Linked DNA regions of Cricetulus griseus. The protein of the gene in region 2 purifies or fractionates together with the protein of the main gene of each other region. This does not show direct contact. Links are inferred from orthologs where the notes say so. Each region holds a gene or a part of one and is shown on either strand. Other genes may lie near its edges.

The links.
Region 1: the proteins of Dnajb11 (region 2) and Dnajc3 purify together in Homo sapiens (affinity purification with mass spectrometry; 3 studies listed by BioGRID and IntAct, with this or other methods). This does not show direct contact. The link is inferred for Cricetulus griseus from reciprocal best matches to the Homo sapiens genes DNAJB11 and DNAJC3.
Region 3: the proteins of Dnajb11 (region 2) and Sdf2l1 purify together in Homo sapiens (affinity purification with mass spectrometry; 3 studies listed by BioGRID and IntAct, counting the BioPlex papers as one, with this or other methods). This does not show direct contact. The link is inferred for Cricetulus griseus from reciprocal best matches to the Homo sapiens genes DNAJB11 and SDF2L1.

What each region holds. Positions count from the first base shown.
Region 1 is NW_023276807.1:268,948,970-268,955,849, reverse strand, and holds the start of Dnajc3 (dnaJ homolog subfamily C member 3), read right to left. Parts: upstream 4,545-6,880; 5' UTR 4,421-4,544; coding exon 4,339-4,420; intron 1-4,338. UniProt on the Homo sapiens protein: Involved in the unfolded protein response (UPR) during endoplasmic reticulum (ER) stress.
Region 2 is NC_048597.1:65,996,201-66,003,084, forward strand, and holds the start of Dnajb11 (dnaJ homolog subfamily B member 11), read right to left. Parts: upstream 4,357-6,884; 5' UTR 4,174-4,356; coding exon 4,106-4,173; intron 1-4,105. UniProt on the Homo sapiens protein: As a co-chaperone for HSPA5 it is required for proper folding, trafficking or degradation of proteins.
Region 3 is NC_048597.1:72,190,373-72,197,256, forward strand, and holds Sdf2l1 (stromal cell-derived factor 2-like protein 1), read left to right. Parts: upstream 1-2,340; 5' UTR 2,341-2,395; coding exon 2,396-2,579; intron 2,580-2,887; coding exon 2,888-3,084; intron 3,085-4,283; coding exon 4,284-4,565; 3' UTR 4,566-4,701; downstream 4,702-6,884.

The DNA of each region.
Region 1 (6,880 bases), on a different chromosome or scaffold from region 2:
TAGCACACAGCCCAACTCTCCCCTCTTGGTTCTGTAGTTAAGAATAAGGTAAAAGGAGTAAGAGAAGAGGAATTTAAACTGGACCTGGTTATTTAAGGAACTTATTTTTCAAGAACAGACATACAAAGAAGTGTAAGAATATCAGCAGCTGAGATTGAGAGAGTGTGCCTAACCGACACCAACAGTAAACTAAACGACAGTAAACTAACAGTCTAGCAATCGTTCTTCTCCATCTGTGTTTAGCTCTTACGTACAACAAGCAAGGTGGTCAAGCTTGAATGGAATGGATCTGCCAGGTAAAGAAAGTCAAAGAACAAAAGCATAGAAATTTAAGAGCACTTACAATGACGTGGCCGCAGTGAAGAACCACTAACTTGCAGAAAACAGAGAAAGGATACTGATGCCTCCCAAAGGCATGTCTTAAGTTCCTTATTCTGTGAATTCTAAGGTAGCCCATCAATGTTACACCATATATACCTCATCACAGCGCCACCTTTGCTGACCTGAGTCTTTTTTATATTCTAAAACTCCAAGCAACAAACTCATCATATTTATCTATTTTTAAAAGAGCCAGTTTCTAAAGATTCGGAAAGAGAAATAAATTTATGGTTGAAAATAAGAGTTTGAGTTCTGAAGGGCAGGGGTTTCCCTGGGATGTTTCTATGTAAACAAAGTAAAGTTGCTGATTACTACCTCAGGAAGGCAGGTGTGGTGGGTGGGCTTTTATCCCAACACTGGGAAGACAGAGAGGTGAGAGATCACAGGTTGGGCCCATCCTGTTCCACATATCAAATTTCAGAGTCCATCCAGGCCAGTCTGGGTTACAGAGCAAGACCAACAAAAACAAATCAAAATAAAACACCCACACTCAAAAATCAATCAGCCAATCAATTAATTAAAAGGTCAGGACAACAGAAAGGAAACCTAACCACAATTAACTTCACAAATACAACCTGCTTGCTCCAGGGCTTCTCATCTCAGCACAAGCCCACCAAACAGGTCGGAAGCCACTGCAGCTCCAGGCACCTTCTCAGCAATGCTGGCTGACTAGATGAACTGAAACACTCCCGACTTTATCATCTAGCCTGCTAAGTAATTCAAGATAAGTCTAGGGAGCTATCTGAACATCTGATTATACACAGTCTTAAAATCATTCATTTAAAAAGTTCTCTTCCTATTTAACTAGCATCAAAAAATCCTACAAAAGGTAATATACTCTTAATTTATCAGTTTAAGTAAAATATATCACAACACTTTGTTTGAACAGATTTTCAAGTCTTCCCCTGATGGCTAAAATATATGGATTAATCATCTCAATACAGTAGAATTTAAAAATGGGTTCCTGATATATATGTCAAGAAAAAAAAGATAAAACTACGCAACATAAAATGTTTTTCAGCCAGTATTCACACTCAAGTCACCCAATAAGCCATTAGCAACAAACTGAAGTAATCTTATTTGCAATGTGAGAATGCTCAAGTGGATACTAACGTTCTCTTTTTCTTTTATTTGTGTCTCTGTATGTAAGACGGACACTTGCTCCATTCCTCCAGTTGGATAAAGCTGTGATATCGGAGCCGGAGTCCCACCCTCCAAGAGGGCAGCTAGTACTCTTAACCCACTGAGCCATCTCTACAGTCCCTACAATTTTCCTCCTACTCAAAAATTCTGCTTTTTAATGCTTTAGATTTTTTTCAAAGGCTCTGAGAAAGACAATGCTAAGAGTCAGTCTTTCAATTCATGATAAGTGCTTTCCTTCTATGGATTACAACAGAAAAGCCTAGTTTGCAAGGGTGTTTTTAATTGAGAAGAAAAAAACAAAAACCAGTTAGGCTAAACATTAACAATATTTTCCATGATATGAAACTGCTCCACAGACCCTGTTTTCATGTTACTCTGCTTACCATGCCTCAAGTGAAGTACGGTACCACCTGACCTGCACACCACCCCCAAAACTGAGGTTAATGAGCTCAGAGAGAACTAACTTACTCAAGAAAATGCAAGCTAATAAACTTTGCTACTTTGTCTTGATAACTCCATCACCAAATCTAGGATCTAATCAATAGCAAGCCCCTAATTTAATTCCTACATATAATTGATTACACCAATGGTTCTCACAGTGTCGTCATCTGGAATCATTTTAGAAATGCACATTTTCAGGTTCCACCAAGACCTACTACATGAGATGTTCTGTAAGTGGGCCTAGAACTCTTAAAACAAAGTCCCCCCATGAGATTCTGATAGACAGCTGGCTAAAGGACCGCTGTTTGGGGAGAGAAAGCATTTTTTTTTTTTTTTTTAAGACAAAGCATCACACTATAGTTCAGATTGGCCTAAAACTCATGATATAACTCAGGCTGGTCTTAAACTCATGACAATCCTCCAGCCTCAGCCTTGAGTGCTGAGACCACAAATATGAGCCTGCACAGCTGGGAAGAACCACCATACTGAACCTGTAGGAAATCACCTTCCTGTGTAAAGTAAAATGCTTATTTTTCTCAGCTGCCACACTTAGAAATGCTTGAAAATGGTATAGACCAGTTCATACAGAAGGTAAAGTTTATTTTTAAAGATTTTATTTTCTCTCTCTCTCTCTCTCTCTCTCTCTCTCTCTCTCTCTCTCTCTCTCTCTGTGTGTGTGTGTGTGTGTGTGTGTGTGTGTGTGTGTGTGTGTGTGTGTGTGTCCAGGTGCCTACAGAACCAGAAAAGGACTCCTGGAGTTGGAATTACAGCATTGAGTAGCCAGATCTGGTGCTGGGAACCCAAATCCAGTCTTTGCAAGTCCAGCAAGCACTCTAACCATTGCTCCAGTCCCAAGATAAATTTTCATTAAGCTCTTAGAACACCAGTTCCCACGTGTGTAAAACAGAGTATCACGTATCTCCATGCAATAAGAGATGGCTTCCAAACAGGCTCTTTGCCTCTCAATCACCTGCTATTTTACACAGGTATTGCACCTGAGAAGCCAACACTCTGGCTGCCCCCCTGAGAGGTGCCATTAGCATGTCCCAGACAGAAAAACTCAAAGTTTTTCCCTTATTTTTTTTTTTTTACAGAAATACCACAGTAGGGAAATGAACAAACTACTGGGAAAAGTAAAGCACTTCTATACCTGAAAAAAAAAAAAAAAAGATCCTAAACATAACAGACAGCTTTCGTGCAAAATAAGCCATTTATGATACCTGAGCATGACTGATGCGGATGAAAAGAATTAGAAAATTAAAAAACTATACCGTATGGCCTATATATTAAAGTGGCCCAGGCCTTCAAATTCCAACCCCCCCCCCCCCCCCGCAATCTGAGGCTGGTTCCAATGTCTCAGTACTGTCACAGCACGAAATCTGATGTGAGGGCCAAAGAACATACGGCTATCAGGAAGTCAAAAACAAAACTCCTACCTTTAACTGAGATGTCAAAACTGGATAATAAGACTTTTAACAAAGAAAGGAAACCCACATACACCTTTGTGAGGATTTCGCCAAGAATTATTCCCAATTTCGGTTCCTCAATCCCCACCGCACCCCACCCCCAGCCATGGAACAGTCAACTGTTTACTTTCCTTGACAACTACCCCCACACACCAACCCCCTCTCCGGAGTGAGTGCAGGTCGGTGCCCAGGACACACAGCTCTGTCACAGCAGCGCAGTAACCAAGCTGGGAAGCGCTCGCTGCTCCACGGGCATTTGGGGCTTCAATGCCCCAGCCCTCCCCGCTCGCCCGCTCGCCCTCTCACACCCAGGCTGGGACAGGCCTCTTGTTTTGCTATTCTGTTGGGAGTAGCCCGCATTCCAGTCTGCAGGCCGGGGTGAAACGCAAGCGCTCCCCACCTTTCCAAGGAGACTCCCCCCTCCCCGACCCCAACCCCAAACCCACCCCGCCCCCGGGGACTAGAAAAAGTAGCCCCGGAAAAAAAAAGGAAAAGTTGAATGACGCCATGCTGGGAACCGTGGACCAAAGACCCGGAGCCCGCGACTCGGGAGCCGGGAGGGCGCTGCCAGCCCCGCGCGGGCTTCTCCGGGCACCGGGCTGAGTTGCGCACCGGACGCGGGATAGAGTGGTCAGGGCCGGGGTTCGATTCCCGGGGGCTCCCGCTCCCGGGCCGGCCCGTGCGAGCCGCCGTTACCCCTGCTGCGGGCGCCGGGCTCCAGGCTGCGCCCCAGGCCTCCATCCCGGCCTGCTCGCCCGCCTTCCCGCGGTGTCCCCGGCTCGCCCGCCCGCTCGCCCGCCGTGTCCCCGGCCCGCGCAGGGCCTCCGCCGCTTGGGCCAGCCTCGCGCCCCGGAGCGCCGCTGGCCCCGGGGCCCGGGCAGGCAGGGTCAGGGGCCCCGAGGCTGCTCACCTTCGTACTGCAGGTCCACCAGGACCAGCAGGAACGGGAACACCGCGCCCAGCCGGCTGCCCAGCGAGCCGGGGGCCACCATGTCCAAGGGCGCCGGGGCGGAGGAGCAGGAAGGAGCGCGGCCCAGCAGCCCAGCGCCCACCCGCTCGCCCGCTCGCCCGCGCGGCGCACAGCCAGCAGCCAGGAGCCCGCAGCCCGCAGCCAGCGTCCGCTCGCTCGTTCGCTCGTTCGCTCGCTCGGGCCTCGGCGGCGGCGGCGAGGGCGCCCAGAGGCGGAAAACGGCGGCGGGCGGCGGGGGCGGGCCGGGGACGCCACGCCCCGAGCGCCGCCGCCGCCCAATCGCCTTCCTCCCGGCCTGGGAGCGGCCCGGCTCGACGGGGTCGTGGTCGGCGCTGATTGGCCGCGCCGGCCGCCGCCCCGCCCCACCGCCGATAGGGTAACGTGGAAGCACACGGCGCGGCGGCGTCCGCAGGTCGTGGAGCTGTCAGCGGGCTCCAAACCGCCGCCGAGGCCGGGCCGGGAGGACGGGGCGGAGAGGACGGGGCGGGGCGGGGGGCACCCCCCCCCAGTCCGCATGCGCAGCCGGGGCGCCGAGAGCCAGCAAGCCCCGGTGCGGCCCGGGAAGTGCCCGGGCTTCCGCCATGCGCTGCTGCCCTGCCGGCGCCGGGGAAGGAGCCCGCGGACTGCCAAGGCTGCTCGGGGCGAGCGGGGAGCGGGGAGCGAGGAGGAGAGCTGGGGAGGAGGGGGAGCAAGGGGGAGAGCTGGGGAGGAGGGGGGAGCGAGGGGAGAGCTGGAGGAGGGAGGAGAGCTGGGGAGGAGAAGGGGAGGACTGGGGGAGGGAGAGCTGGGGGAAGGAGGGGGAGAGCTGGGGAGGAGGGAGCGAGGGGAGAGCTGGGGAGGAGGAGCGAGGGGGAGAGCTGGGAGGAGGAGGGTTAGGAGGAGGAAGGGGGAGGAACTGGGGGAGGGAGAGTTGGAGGAGGGAGGGAGAGAACTGGGGAGAAGGAGGGAGGGGGAGCTGGGGAGGAGGAGGGGAGAGCTGGGAAGGAGGAGGAGAGCTGGGGAGGAGGGGGAGAGCTGGGGAGGAGGAGGAGGAAGGGGGAGGGAGAGCTGGGAGGAGAGGAAGAGCTGGGGAGGGAGAGAGCTGGGGAGGAGGAAGGGGGAGAGAGAGCTGGAGGAGGGAGGAGAGCTGGGGAGAAGGGGAGGGAGAGAGAGCTGGAGGAGGGAGGGAGAGAGTGGGAAGGAGGAGGAAGGGGAGGGAGGCTGGGGGAGGAGAAGAGCTGAGAGGAGGAGGGAGAGCTGGGGAGAAGGAGGGGGGCTGGGGGAGGGAGAGAGCTGGGAGGAGGGAGGGCTCGAGGAGGGAGGAGAGCTGGGGAGGGGGCTGGAGGAGGGAGGGAGGGGGTGGGTATGTGAACCCTGGGTTAGGGAAGGGAGCTGTGAGCTGGGGTGAGGACTGGTGAGTAGGGGCTGAGGGAAGCCAGCTAGGACCCTGAGGTGCTAACAGACTCCGGGGTCATTGGTTCCTCTTAGCAAGCTGGAAGTGCCTGGGGCTCCCTGGGGATGCTGGCTGCTGACTAGATGCCCGCGACCTGACACTCTGGAGTCACTCCACCGAGTCTCACCTTGGCCTGGGCACACTCTTAAAGCCCCTGGCTGGCGCGGCCTTTCCGGTCTCTCCAAAGAAGCTTTCAGGGCCGCTCTGTTTTTACAGGGGTGGGTGGGTTGTCCCGCTGCCCAAGGCTTCCAAGTCTGCAGCCTATGACCTGCCCTGAGCCAATTATGTATTAGTGTGATGCACAGAACCATGGCGCATCTCTTGCTCCGTCTTCAGTGTCTGCTCTCTGCCTTGGCAGTTTGGAGTAAACTTGTCCCCTTTTGTCACCCACGGGAGCTGCTGTTCGGGTTTCTTTACCGCTTTCATTCGAACAGAAAGGAACTTGAACAAGAAGCAGTTCAAATTATTCAGTTAGGCTTTGATCATGGCTGTTTCTTCTGTTTTGAACGCGCTCTATAGACCAGCAGTTTTTACAAACAACGTGGGTTTATCGTCCAATGCATACATCAGTGTCACTTCGTGCTTTAGAAGAACTCCTGAGTTAGGGTGAATTTTGAATAAAAAAAAAAAAAAGAAAGAAAGAAAGATGAAGGACATGGCTGCTCTGAGGTACGGTGGAGGACAAAGTGTGTTGTAGGTGAAAGGGAGAGCATAGCCAGAGGCAGACATATCTGGGAGAGCCCAGAGTGGACATGAGCAGACTGAGCCATGAGAGGGGAACCAGGTACAGCAGCCAAGAGGGCAAAACGTAACCAGATTGGCTGGATTATATAGGGAAGAGCCTCTGGGGAGGGGCAGCCCAACCCCTGGACTGCAGAGTTCAGGGTAGAGGGAAGGATATGCCGAGCCGTACCCTGTAACAAGTAGGGACTGAGGGATGCTGGGAGAACCTGGCTCTAGGTTCTCTGATGTGTTAAATAGGCACCTTAGTCATTTGTCCCAGGATTTGGGACCTAACAAATTTGTGATCTCCTGAAGATACACTGTAAA
Region 2 (6,884 bases):
TCACATAAAAGTTCCAACAGTAGCACTTTGGGAACATTTAAAGATGGACTGACTTAAGGAATTAAAATAGAGGTTAAGCAAAGTCTACATAATAACTCTGAAGGAAGAACAGCATTCATTCATATGTAAGGATTATAGTGTATTTTGATGGAAAAATATATTTCATAATTCATTGCCAGTAACTACACTAATTTGCTGAAATCAAGTCTTTATGATAGGCAGGCTTTATAGTTCACATGCAGGAGCCTCTATATCCTGGTGGTTGAGAATATGCTTATGATAGAAACCAGGACATAACAGAGAACATTGCCAAGGACTATGAGGGGATCAGTTATAAAAGGGTTCTCTTCAGGAAGTGTTAATGGAAAGCTAGAGTAAGACTATAAAAGACATTCCAGAGAAAGGCCATTTCCAGCTCATTGGAGACCAGTAAATTCTCCTGAATGAGCCAAGCACATATGAACACTCACAGCATCTATTCTTGTTGCCAGAATTTTAGCAACCAGAATTTATTCTGGAAACATTATCCCAATAATGGGGCTAGGAAGTCACATAATAGACACTAACATAGTATGGATGGTAGTCTTACAATGTATGGGGAAAATGAACTGGGGAACCAAGACACAAGACAGAATACTTTTTTTAAAAAATGTATTTTATGGCCTGTCATGTGGCTCAGTCAGTAGAGTGCTTGCCTCTAACTCAAGATGGCATACACCTATAGCCCAGGCATTCAGAAGGCTACGATTAGTTTATACTGTAAGTCACACTGTTTAAAAAGTAATTTAGTTATTTTAATCATTTTGTCAGGGTTTGGGGTTGGTTTTATAGGCAGGGTTTCATATAGCCTTGAATTCCTGACCTTCTTGCCTCTACCTCATAAATGTCAAGTTTACAGGAGTATATGAACCATGTCCTACTCAACTATATAATTTTGAGAAAAGGTTTCCCTGTAGTTCTGGCTGTCCTGGAACTCACTCTGTAGAGTAGGCAGGACTCAAATTCACAGAGAACTGTCTGACTCTGACTCCCAAGTGCTGGGGATAAAGGTGTGTGACATCATGCTCAGCTCAACTTCATCATTTTTAAAACTTATCACTCACAGGAAGTCCCTACCTAATCTGTAAAGTCTTGACATCTCATGGGAAAGGAACCAGCTGTTTAATAATGAAAATGCTAACTATGAAGTGAGGCTTACTTAATGCTTATGGAGAGGGGTGAATTAAACAAAACTAAGGATAAGAAAAAAAAAACATGAAAAGCCACTACTTTGTTAACTAACTCAAAAAATATATAAAGTGGCCCCCAACATATCTTACAGTTGTATTACTCTGACAGAGGAGCTGAATTCCATTTTCAGCACCCATGATGGGTGGATTTACACCCACCTTTAACTCCAGCTTCAGGGAATTCAACACTCTTTTCTTTCTTCCACAGGCACCTGCACTTACATGTTCATGCCCGCACACAGACACACATGTACATGTACTTAAAAAATAAAATCTTAGAGACAGACAGACAGACAGACAGACAGACAGACAGACAGACAGACACACAAACACAGAGAGACCGGGGATTCTGAACATAGGTACCCTGTATGAGTGGATGTTTCCCTTAGAAGACATAGATTATGAAGTGAAAATCTCAGTGCCAGGTGTGGGAAAACTCCCTATGAGAGTTATAAGTCAGGGAGGCCCCCAGACAAGAAGCTTCACCATTGCCCATCATAACGGAAGCCCCATTGCTGATGACACACATTTTGGTTACCGGACACAGAGAAATCAAACTGAGTTGACATACAAAATTCCCGCCTTCTGGCCAGCTTTCACAGTGTCAGAAGGTTACGTAGGTTGTGTGAGGAGGAAAATTACTAATATTGACCAAAAAAGCAAGATAGTCCCACATCTGGTACAATAGTGATGTGAAGATTATGAGGTTAACCCACTGCTTTCTGACTGGACTTGAGGCCTGCTCCACAGAAGGGAATTCCTATCTGGTACTGTAAAGCTGAAAACCCGTGGCTGGCGAGGTCATAGGCCATGGGGGACAGGGAGACCTATTACTGTTGTTTTGCTAAGCAGACATGTGATTTTTAGGTTGTATCTATAATTAATACTATATCATGTAAATATTTAGGTTATATCTATAGATTCACACACTCTCAGCCTTGGTCATAGAGACTTCTTTTTACGGTGGCAGTAAATGTATCAACATAACTGGTCAAAGTGTGGAGAACAGGTAACTGCTGAGTGTTCAATCTTAAACAGAATATCTATTCCAACCTTCCCCCGCCTCTCCCCAAGTCTCCAAAGTTCAGGAACATTGTGGGAGATGGGGCAGAAAGGATGTAAAAGCATGGGAAGGGGAGGAGTGCTGTCAAATTCTGTCTTCTGGATATGGCACTCACGAATATACTCAAGTTATGGCTACCTGAACAAGACCTTTGAAAAGAGCAAGCCAATACCATTAGTCACCACTCCAGCAGCTACATCAACTAACTGGACTCAGTGAGTTACTGGATGTGGGAAGGGGCATGTTGGTGTGTGTGTGTGTGTGTGTGTGTGTGTGTGTGTGCTCGCGCTCGCGTGTGTATCTGCGGGATTTTGGGTAGGTATGATTACACTGTATGTGTATGAAACTGACAGAGAGTAAGTAAAAGACTTTTTAAAGGGGGGAAAAGGCTAAATGACAGCTCAGAAAAAAATGGCCGTCAACATTATGCTCCCCAGAGGCTACTTTATGAGTGACTGAAGTTTAAAGCTAAAGTATTAAAAGCTATTAGTATTTGCCAGGAATGGTCACCCATGTCTGCAATCCTAGCATGTGGGAAGTGGTGGCTGAAGGAGCATGAAGGAGTTCAAGATTGCCCTCAGCTACATATTGAGCTGGAGACCAGAATACCTCAACTTCCAACTCCAAAATTTTATGTTGACGTTTTGTTAAATGCTTTGGGTACTCATGAGCTTAATCAAACTAAGGGGAAACAATAAAGAATATGTAAGAAATGTGAACTTTTAGAAATTTAAAATATTTCACAAGGAAAAAAAATGACAAAATTTAAGCATACATGCAAAGAGTAAAAAACATAAGGAAACAACTTTAAAAGCTATTTGAGGTAATGCAGCAACCTACAGACTGTCAGACTCTGACACCCACTAGTTTTTGGTGTGTTTTTATTTTTGTGGTTACTTATTTATTTGAGATAGGGGATGATGTAGGCTTGGCAAGCCTGAAACTCCCTCTGGAGCTGAAGATGACCTTGAATTCTGATCCACCTGTTTTCATCTGCCAAAAGCTGGGGTGAAGGGTTCCAGCCCTCAAGAACACAAGTCTGATGTACCATATCCTTAGTCATGGGAACTATAAGGTCGTGCATTTTAAATGCTGGGAGATAGATTCTCAAAGTCTGCTCTTTCTCCCTGAAGGGAGGCACAATGCTCCCCTGGTTTCAGAACTTCGGTAAAGTTCCTTCAAACTTGTATGATTCATAAGAGTGGCAAAAGGCTAGAATCCCAGTTTTCTCACCCGTTCGTGAAGTGCTTTTCCTACTTATACCATCCAGCTCAAGGAACCATGGAGAGAGACAGTGAGGCAAGATGACAGTTCAGGCTCGCTAGCCCAAGAAGGTGGAAAGTAGGTTCTCTAAAGGTCTTGTTGCTTCCTCAAGCCAGTTTACTCCCGCGTGAGCTTGGCTTCCTTACCTGCATCTGACTTAAGAGCATCATGGCCCACCCACTTTAGTGTCAGGTCCTCGGAGGCTTGTTGCAAGCTAGGTAACCCACCGTCCCACCCTCCAGTTCAGCAAAGACGTGTCCATAACTTCAACCCCAGCTTGGCACTCACTCCCTTCCTCGGAGTTCCGTGACTCTACTACCGCTCACAGCCACTTAACTCCTTCCAATGCACAAACGTAGCATTTGGCACTGCAACCAACTCCTGCTCTTGTGGGCACTCTGGCTCCGCAGGGCCAGCCCGGCCCTCACTGCCCCTCCGTCCCTCGGCTCGGCAGTGCCGCTCCCTCACTGCCCCCTCCTCGATGCCACCCGCGTCCTTCTCAGCAAAGGCCGCCCCTCGGGCCCCGTGCCGCGCGGAGCCCCTTCCTCACCCGGCCATCACAGCCCCGATGAGGTACAGCAGCAACAGGCAGAAGGTGCTTAGGTTCTGCGGGGCCATGGTGTCGCCTGGTCCCGCACTCTCAGCCTCCCGTGCCGCTGCGTCTGCTGACCAGCCCTTCCGGCCCTGAGAGGCCGCCTCACGCCCGGGTCTCTTGCCGGGCCGCCGAGACAGCTAGCGCGCCCCCTCCTCAGCTGCCACTTTCCGGGAGCCCCAGAGCCGGCGAGCAGCCAGGCATGGGCCAATCGCCGCCGGGGACATCACACGCGGCCGCCACTCCGCAGCCAATCAGCGCGGTACACTTCACCTCCGAGGCGGCTCGGACAGCCAGTCAGACAACGGAACTGCCGCCGCTGCTGCCGGCCAATGGGAAGAGGAAACGTCAGAGGTTCGCGCCGCCCGGAAGTGCCTGCGAATAGGAGAAAATCTCAGGCGGAGGGGAGCGCGCTGCGAGGAAACCCGAGTGGTCCACCAATCGGGAGACTCCTTCCCAGCTCTGACCAATTGCTCGCAAGAGGTCTTAACTCGGTTTTCCAGTCTGGAAACTACGTCGCGTGCGCCCGGGACGCGCGGGATCCCTGAGGTGCAACCCCAGGAGGGTGGGCGATCACTCGGTGTCAGAGTACTTGGGGCGCCTTACCTAAGGATGCGATCTCACAGTACAAATTTAGTACATATAGTCTCGATTTCGTAGAAAAGAGGCCCGGTACCTTATAGAGAAGCCGCCGCGGAGACCGACTTAAGTTCAGATTCGGCTTCCAGCACTTCGCAGCGGTGAGACATCCCCACCCCCACCCCGCTTCCGAACCCGTTTTCGACAAAACTTAAGGCGTGGCGGCGTTCACTGGTAGTGTTGGGAATTTTTAATTGACATGTTTTCTGTAAGTTTTCCAGTAGAGTTGCACATAGTAAGCATGCAATCAATAAAAGCCGTTATTATAGTTCGGAGCAGAGCTTGTTCGTTGGTTCTTTTCTCCAGTTTTGTTAACTACAGAAAGCTAGTTGTTTAGCAAAGCCTCTCCTCTTAGCTTTGCTTCCTACATGAGCTATCTAGATCTTTACCAATGAACGGTATCTTGATTATGTCCAGTACAGCTCCATCTCTGGCCCAAGTCACAATTATCTCTTGCTTGCAAAGGTCTCTTAACGATCTTCTCCCTCCAAACTTTATATATCGATCCATTATTTTAATGTACTCCTACTCTCCACCCCATGATCGTGTGCATGCGTGAGCGCACTAGGGACCTGGAGACCACAGATTAGACTAGGCAGGTGGACTTGGAAGACCAAGGTCCTGTCTCTGTCTCCCCAGCTCTGGGGTTTCAGGCGGTTGTTGCCGCAGTTGCTGCTATGCGTGGAATTCAAGGTCTCCTGTTTATACAGCAAGTAAGTGGCAAGCTTTATGGACTGAACTATCTCCCCAGCGTCCTCGTGATTTTTAAAAAGTATTTCAGATCATGTCACTCTCCTGCTTAAAAGCCTCTAATGGCTTTTCAATGTACTAAAAGTAAAATGTCAACTCTATTGTAACTTACAAAGCTGTCTAGTTTAACAATCAGTATCCTCACCTCTTAAAATGTTCCAGAATAATCAGCTTCCTTCCTCCTTTTAAAAAATTTTCATTGTATATATTCATTGCATACGGCACTTTCTTGCATCAGCAAATTATGTACACGGAGCATATTCCTCCTCTTACCATATACCCTCCTACCTTTTTCTCTCTGTTCTGTTATCCCCTTCGTTTCTCTACAGTTCTGCCTCTACTTTCATGCCATATATATATATACGTATGTAATTTTAAGTACCTATATAAAATCTAGGAACCAAAACGAAAGAAAACATGTATCTGTCTCTCTGAGATTGGCTTAATTCCCTTAAGATGAATATTTCCAGCTGTATCCATTTTCCTGTAGACAGCATAACTGTATTCTTTATGTTGGAAAAAAGATCATTGTGTACATAAACTAAACTAGGTTAGTTCTGTAACTTAGCTATTGTGAATAGTGCTGGAACAAATATGGATGTTTTATCAAAACCTTTTTCTGCATTAATGAAAAAAGGCTTATTTTTCTGTGCATGGGTTCTTTGCCTGCATGTAAGCCAGTGCATGCCCGTTGCTCAAGGAGGCCAAAAGAGGTTGGAGGATCCCCTGGAACTGGAGTTGCAGATGGATGTGAGCAGCCATTTTGGTGCTCGAAATCAAATCCAGGTCTTACAGAAGAACAGTAAATGTTCTTAACCTCTGAGCCATCTCTGCAGCCTGGCTCGAAAGTGTTGTATTGAGAATTTTTACATCGTGTTCATTAGGGAGATATATCTATAATTTTGTTTCTTTGTAGTATCTTTATCTGGTACTAGTAGTAGGGCAAACTGATTTTATTTCTAAAAAGTTATTTTATAGATTACTTTGAGAAATGTTGGTGTTTTTCCTAAAGGTTTGGTAAAATTCTGCAGTGAATCTATCTGGGATCTGGGCTTGGGCTTGTCTTAGCCACTGTTCTATTGCTGTGAAGAGACACCATGACCAAGGCAACTCTTACAAAATAAAGCACTTAATTGGGGCTTGCCAACAGTTTCAGAAGCTTAGTTCATTACCACAATGGCAGAGATCTTGGTGACATGCAGGAAGATGCTGGAGCAGTAGCTGAGATCCACAAGCTGAGAGAGAGAGAGAGAGAGAGAGAGAGAGAGAGAGAGAGAGAGAGAGAGAGAGAGAGAGAGAGAGAGAGAGAGCGCACCTAGGCCTGGCAAGGGCTTTTGAAACCTTAAGT
Region 3 (6,884 bases), about 6.2 Mb from region 2:
ATTTTGATTCTAGCAGTTTTGACACAGCCTGCTTAGAAACCTGCTACTTCTGTCTGTCATGGAGCTTATGTCCTTGCCATCTTTGACTCTAAGTGCAATGGAGAAAACCATGTCTTTCTTTTCTTTTGAGTCAGGGACTCAAAGATAGCCTTGGACTCTTTTTTGTTGTTGTTGTTTGTTTTTTGTTTTTTGTTTTTCGAGACAGGGCTTCTCTGTGTAGCTTTAGAGCCTATCCTGGCACTCGATCTGGAGACCAGGCTGGCCTCGAACTCACAGAGATCTGCCTGCCACTGCCTCCCAAGTGCTGGGATTAAAGGCATGTGCCACCAAGGCCTGGCACTTTGGACTCTTTTTTGTTTGTTTGTTTGTTTGTTTGTTTGTTTGAGACAGGGTTTCTCTGTGGCTTTGGAGGCTGCCCTGGAACTAGCTCCTGTAGACCAGGCTGGTCTCGAACTCTCAGTAATACATCTGTCTCAGCCTCCCAAGTGCTGGGATTAAAGGCGTGCGCCACCACCACCTGGCCAGGAATCAGATTTCTAAATTTCAGGTTTTCATATTTTTATTACATTTATTTATTTGTGTGTGTGTGTGTGTGTGTGAATGCCAACCTTCCAAGTTTGTCTTGAGCAATTGATCATTGGTGTTTCCCTTTTTATTTTCTTTTTCAAAACAGAATTTCTCTGAGTAGTCCTGGCTGTCCTGGAACTCACTCTGTAGACCAAGCTGGCCCCAAACTCAGAGATAGAGATGCCTACCTCTGCCTCCTGAGGGCTGGGATTAAAGGTGTGTGCCACCACCACTTGGCATTTAGTGCTGCCTTTTATTGAGCCTTGGAAACTTGAAGGAGGAGTAGTTTAAGGGAAAAGACAATTCTGCCTTAGACATGCTAAATTTCAGATCTCTATTGACATTTCCAATAAGACATTTTCAGTGCATCTTGGATGCTGGACCTAGATCATTTAAGGGCATGATCTTCCAAGTGCAGAATAAGGTGCCTTATCCCATGTGTAATCCAAAATATAATAACCCTGAAATGTGAAAACTCCACATTGAGTTGTAGATGTAGCTCATCAGTAGGTCTTTTGTTTACCCTAGGTTAGGCCTTAAGTTCAATTCACAAAATTACACACAAAACCTGAATTACCAGGTTGCTGTCATTAATGACTTCTCTATTTTCTGAGTGCAAAATTCTGGATAATTGAATTCAATATGAGTTTTTTCAATCTTTGAAAAATGGTCTCTTGACATGTGAAGCAAGCTTGTTACTAATTTGAACTAATAAAAAAATAAGGAAAAAAACTTGAAAAAAAAAGAAAAAAGAAAAATGGTCTCACATGTAGCCTTGGGTGGCTTGGAACTTTCTATATAGGATATATTGGTCTGAAACTCTGAAACACGAATTAATTTTGTTGTCTGCCTCCTAAGTGTGCTACTACGTATGTCTGGCCTAAAATTTTTTTAATTTTTTTTTGTAAGAGTCTTACGTAGTCCAGGTTGGCCACTAACCTCAATCTTTCTCTTTAACTTCTGGCCTCCACCACTTGAGTGTTGATATGCTAGAGATCAAACCCAAGGTTTTGTGCTAGTTAGACAAGCACTCTACTGAGACACATCTCCGGCCCCTAAATAGAAACTTTAATGAGTATCTAGCTAGTGCTCCAGGTACATACTTCATCAGCCACTTGGTAATATAGCCTGTAAGCAGTTCCTTTGTGGATCCCCAACATAGAAAAAAATTATATATATGAGTGACAGCTACCAGCTGTCTTTTGATGACTCATCCAGCAACCTTGATATTCTGCCACCAAATCACTCAAGTAGCTGCATGGCCAAGGGAATTCAGAAACCCTGGGATCCAGGAGCTGACATGACCCAGTGACAGTTAAACTCCTGGGGTCAGGAGATTTCAGTAAGTGGGATCTGTCCGCTTTGTGACCACAAAATCTAGTGATTCACAAGACTGTGCACATTTACGCCCAGGACTGAAGTCCAGGGGCCCAGTGTCAAAGGGGTTCCTGAACCTACCCCCCCCCCCCAAGGGCTTACGACTGGGGCCAAATGACTACTGGCCACAAACCTCGCTGTGCGCCACTCTGAGGCCTCTCGGAGCTGGTCGCCGCCGCCGCCGCCGCTGCTCTCTGGGCGTTCATTGGCGGGTCCTCGGAAGCGTGGACCAGTTAAAACCCTCCTGGTGTCTTCAGCTCCCCGCCCCCCAGCCACCTCCTTGAAAGCTGGGGGGTGGGACCGCTGCACAACGACCCAATCCTAGTGCAGGAGGAGCGCGCGCGGGCAGGCAATTGGCTGCTATGAGAGGGCGCTGTCAGAGGCGGATTGGCCGGTGTTGAGGACGGAAGCGCTGAGGTCCGGAGCTGCTGGAACCCGGCCGGCCGTCGCGATGCGGGGCGCGAGTCGCGGCGGGGTAGCCGGGGCGCTACTGGTGCTGCTGCTGGTGCTGTCGGTGCGCAGCGGTGACGCGTCCAAGGCCAGCGCCGGGCTCGTCACCTGCGGGTCAGTGCTGAAGCTGCTGAACACCCACCACAAAGTGCGGCTGCACTCACACGACATCAAATACGGATCCGGTGCGCAGGGGTAGTGAGTGACTGGGATGGGCACCGGGGCCGGGCGGAGGCTTAGAGGCCAGGTGGTCCTAGTGGGCTCTGCGGGCTGTCAGGGAGCTGGGTAGTTGCGAGTCTAGACTCGCTTGCAGGGTCGTGAGAGGCAAGCCGCGGGCATTGAGGATGTGGAGGGTCCGGCGGGGGCCTCGACTGGGGTGAGCCCTTGGGATCCTGAATTAGTGGGGGCTGTGGGAGGAACTTGTTAGTGTTCAAGACGAGGATCCCGAGATCTGCAATTGACAGAGACCACGGGGTGGGCTGTCCCTCTCCAGGCAGCGGCCAACAGTCGGTAACCGGCGTGGAGGCGTCCGACGATGCCAATAGTTACTGGCGGATTCGTGGCGGCTCCGAGGACGGGTGCCCGCGCGGGCTCCCAGTGCGTTGTGGGCAGGCAGTGCGGCTCACGCATGTGCTCACCGGCAAGAACCTGCACACGCACCACTTCCCGTCGCCGCTCTCCAACAACCAGGCAAGCCCCGTTCCGAGCCCCGCCGAAACTGAGCGGGCAGGAACCCGAGCGACATCGGGAGGTGTGAGGGAGGGAGCCGACAGGGGACTCAGTCTCAGCTGCAGTGAAATGGGAGTTTTTCTAATCAGAAGTTTATGAAGCCTCCGCTCTGCGTCCTGTCCTCAGGAATTTCTACCCCAGAGTTAGGAGAAGGACTGAGAAGTCAGAGATTGATTAGCTCCTATTTGGACACGAGGGGGACTCACAGCAGATAAGTAGTAGAACATTGAAGAAAGGAGCACCTCGGGCTGGTTCTGAAAGAGAAGTAGGAGCTTTCCCCCAGACCTTTCCCTCTGTGGCATAGCTCCTGCTGAAGCATATGGTCACTGCAGCTGGTGGGGGTGGGGGGCATGAGAAGGAACTGACAGTGCTTTGGGAGAGTTTCTGGGGGGAAATGTTGGCGATAGGGAACATGGCTGTTAGACTGGGAAGAGCTTGGGGGATGTGCCTTCACTAGGTTAGCACAAGAAGCCTTTGGAGACCGTGGTGGAGCACACCTTTAATCCAGCACTCGGGAGGCAGAGATAGGCAGATCTCTGTGAGTTCGAGGCTAGCCTGGTCTACAAGAGCTAGTTCCAGGACAACCTTCAGCCTCCAAAGCCACAGAGAAACCTTGTCTCCACCCCCCTTCCCCCCAAAAAAGAAACCCATGGAGAGAAGGTCTTAGCTCCAGAGGGCCAGTGGGCACTACAAAGACTGATTGATCTATGTGGTGCATGCCTTTAGTCCCAGCACTCAGGAGATAGAGGTAGGTGGATCTCTGAGTTCTAGGACAGCCTAGTCTATAGAGTGAGTTCCAGAATGGCCAGGGCTACACAGAAAAACCTGTCTTACAAAACAAAACAAAACAAAACAAACAAACAAAAAAGAGGCTCTATGCATCTGAAGAAACCTTCAATAGGATGGGAATTTTTTTTTTTTTTTTTTTTGGTTTGTTTGTATTTTGAGACCATCTTTCTGTATATAGCCCTGGCTATCCTGGAACTTACTATGTAGACCAGGCAGGTCTCAAACATCCAGAGATATGCCTGCCTCTGCCTCCTGAGTGCTGTACTTAAAGGCATGTGCCACCATACCTGGCTAGTGTGGGACTCTTTTTTGATTTTTCGAGACAGGGTGCTCTTCTCTATGTGACTGTCCTCCATACTTTACACTCTCAGGAGGTGAGTGCTTTCGGGGAAGATGGCGAGGGTGACGACCTGGACCTGTGGACAGTACGATGCTCTGGGCAACACTGGGAGCGCGAGGCCAGCGTCCGCTTCCAGCATGTGGGCACCTCTGTGTTCCTGTCGGTCACTGGTGAGCAGTATGGTAACCCAATTCGTGGACAGCATGAGGTGCACGGCATGGCTAGCGCCAATGCTCACAACACATGGAAGGCCATGGAAGGTATCTTCATCAAGCCTGGAGCAGATCTCTCTACAAGTCATGATGAACTCTGAGAACTGGATGGGTGAAGGGAGGGAGGGTGGCTGGGTAGGGATTCTGTAGGGCCACTCTTGTGTGAGACTTTGTTTGTAGAGTCCTCAAGTGCCTTTATGATTAAAAAATGTTGGTTTGTGTTTATATTTGCTGTAACCCCAGGGAAGATCTGGAGGTACCAGCCATGTCTGTCCATGTTGCCATCTCACCTGTCTCTAGGTACCTGTTCAAACTTTTTTTTTTTTTTTTGAGACAGTCTCACTATGTAGCCCTGACTGACCTGGAACTCACAGAGATCCACCTGCCTCTGCCTCCTGAGTGCTGGGATTAAAGGTGTGCACCACCACAACTGACCCCAAACTCTTTTATAAAATCATTCTTTACTAGTGTGAGTGCATGTTCTGTGTGTATGTTGGCACCTGTACATGCGTGCATGTGTGAAGTTTAGAGACCAACTGTTGATAGTTGATTCTCATATCCTACCTTTATATTGGTTCCAGAGATCAAATTCAGGTTGTCAGGATTGTGTAGCACACACTCTAGCTGCTGAGCTGTCTCAGTGGCCCCAAACCTTTATATTTATATTTATATTTATTTATTTATTTATTTATTTATTATGTCTAGTCTTCTGCTCTGCCTGCATGCCAGCAGAGGGCATCAGATCCCACTGTAGATGGTGGTGAGCCACCATGTGGTTGCTGGGAATTGAACTCAGGACCTCTGGAAGAGCAGTCAGTGCTCTTAACCTCTGAGCCATCTCTCTAGCCTTGACCCAAACCTTTTTTGATGCCTGTCGATGCATTGTAAATCTGCTTTGAACAGTCGTCTCTCCTGTCTACTCTACAGCAACCTCATAGCCATGGACCTCAGCTCCCAGTACTTGAACTTATTGTGTGGCCTTGGCCTCAGGGGCCCTGTCAGCTGGGATGGGACTCAAGCTCTCCAGTCCCCTCATTCCTTGCCCTCAGGACCCCACTCTTCTTCTGGTTGTGGCAGTCTTGAGATTTATCTCTGGCTGGGCACACCTCTAATCCCAGCACCCGGGAGGCAGAGGCAGGTGGATCTCTGTGAGTTTGAGGCCAGCCTGGTCGCCAGAGCGAGTTCCAGGACAGCTAGGGCTACACACGAGCTCACACATGCGTACGCTTGTGCTCATACACACAAAGATTTATGTTTGACCAAAGGCCAGTTGAGGGTTCTGCCCTATACTGGAAAGTAAGACCTCAGGCTCCCGTACTCTTGCTGTAAAGGACACTCTTCTTTCCCCAGGGTTCTAAAGAGCGGAAAGAATTAAGGCTGGAGAGATGGCTCAGTGGTTAAGAGCACAGTCTGCCCTTTCAGAGGACCCCCACCTTATGTCTTGTCAGGTGGTTCACAACTTGTAACTCCAGTTCCAAGGGAATTTCTCACGCCTCTCACCTCTCGCACATGTGCACAAACTCATACAGGCACATAATTTTAAAAAAGAGAGTAAATAGAATACCTCAAAAGACATCTCAGGGGAAGACAACTCAAAAAAAAAAAAAAAAAAAGAATAGGAATCTGAGGAGGCACAATCCCGGCAGCCAGAGTACTACAGTTTAAAGGCATGAATAGAGGGCTGGGGAGTTAGTTGGGTTGTGAACAGGTGCTTGTTGAGTGCAGTGGAACAGTTGGTACTTGGTGTGCATGAGGCTATGGGTAGAGTACTTTGCTAGCATGTACAAGGCATAAGACCCATTTCCAGCACCAAAATTAAATAAAATAACAGACACAATGTACCATACAGTCTAAATGAGTAAATAAAAACACAAGCAAAAGAAATAGAAGGGCTTACATTAAGCAAGCTAACAGCTCACTAGTGGTGTGTGTGTGGCCTCTAGAGGTAGTAGAAGAAATGACAGATTGTCTAGGCTTGGCCCCATAGGTCATAAGGACTTCAGGGAACTGCTGGGGATGGAAAGTGTTGATTTCCTGAGAGCCAGAAAAAGTCCCAAGAGGCTGGGGTTGTCTGGAAGGGACTTGGAATAGGGTGGGAAGAGCAGGAAACACACGGATTTGAGAAATCAGTAGACTTTATTAAAGCACATGGGTGAGACAAAAGCTGTAAGTCAATTGAATCCTCAGGGGCGGCAGTTATGTCTTGGATCATTACTCTCCTGCCCCATGAGACCCTCGTCTTCCCACTGACAAACTTTTGTTTTGAGACAAGCTTTCTTCATGTGACTTTGGCTGGTCTGAAACTAGACCCAGCAGGCCAGAATTCATAGAGATCCACCTGCCTCTGCCTCCTGGGTGCTGGGATTAAAGGTGTGCACCACCATGCAGCCAAACTTTTAAATGTTATCTTTTGATTGTGT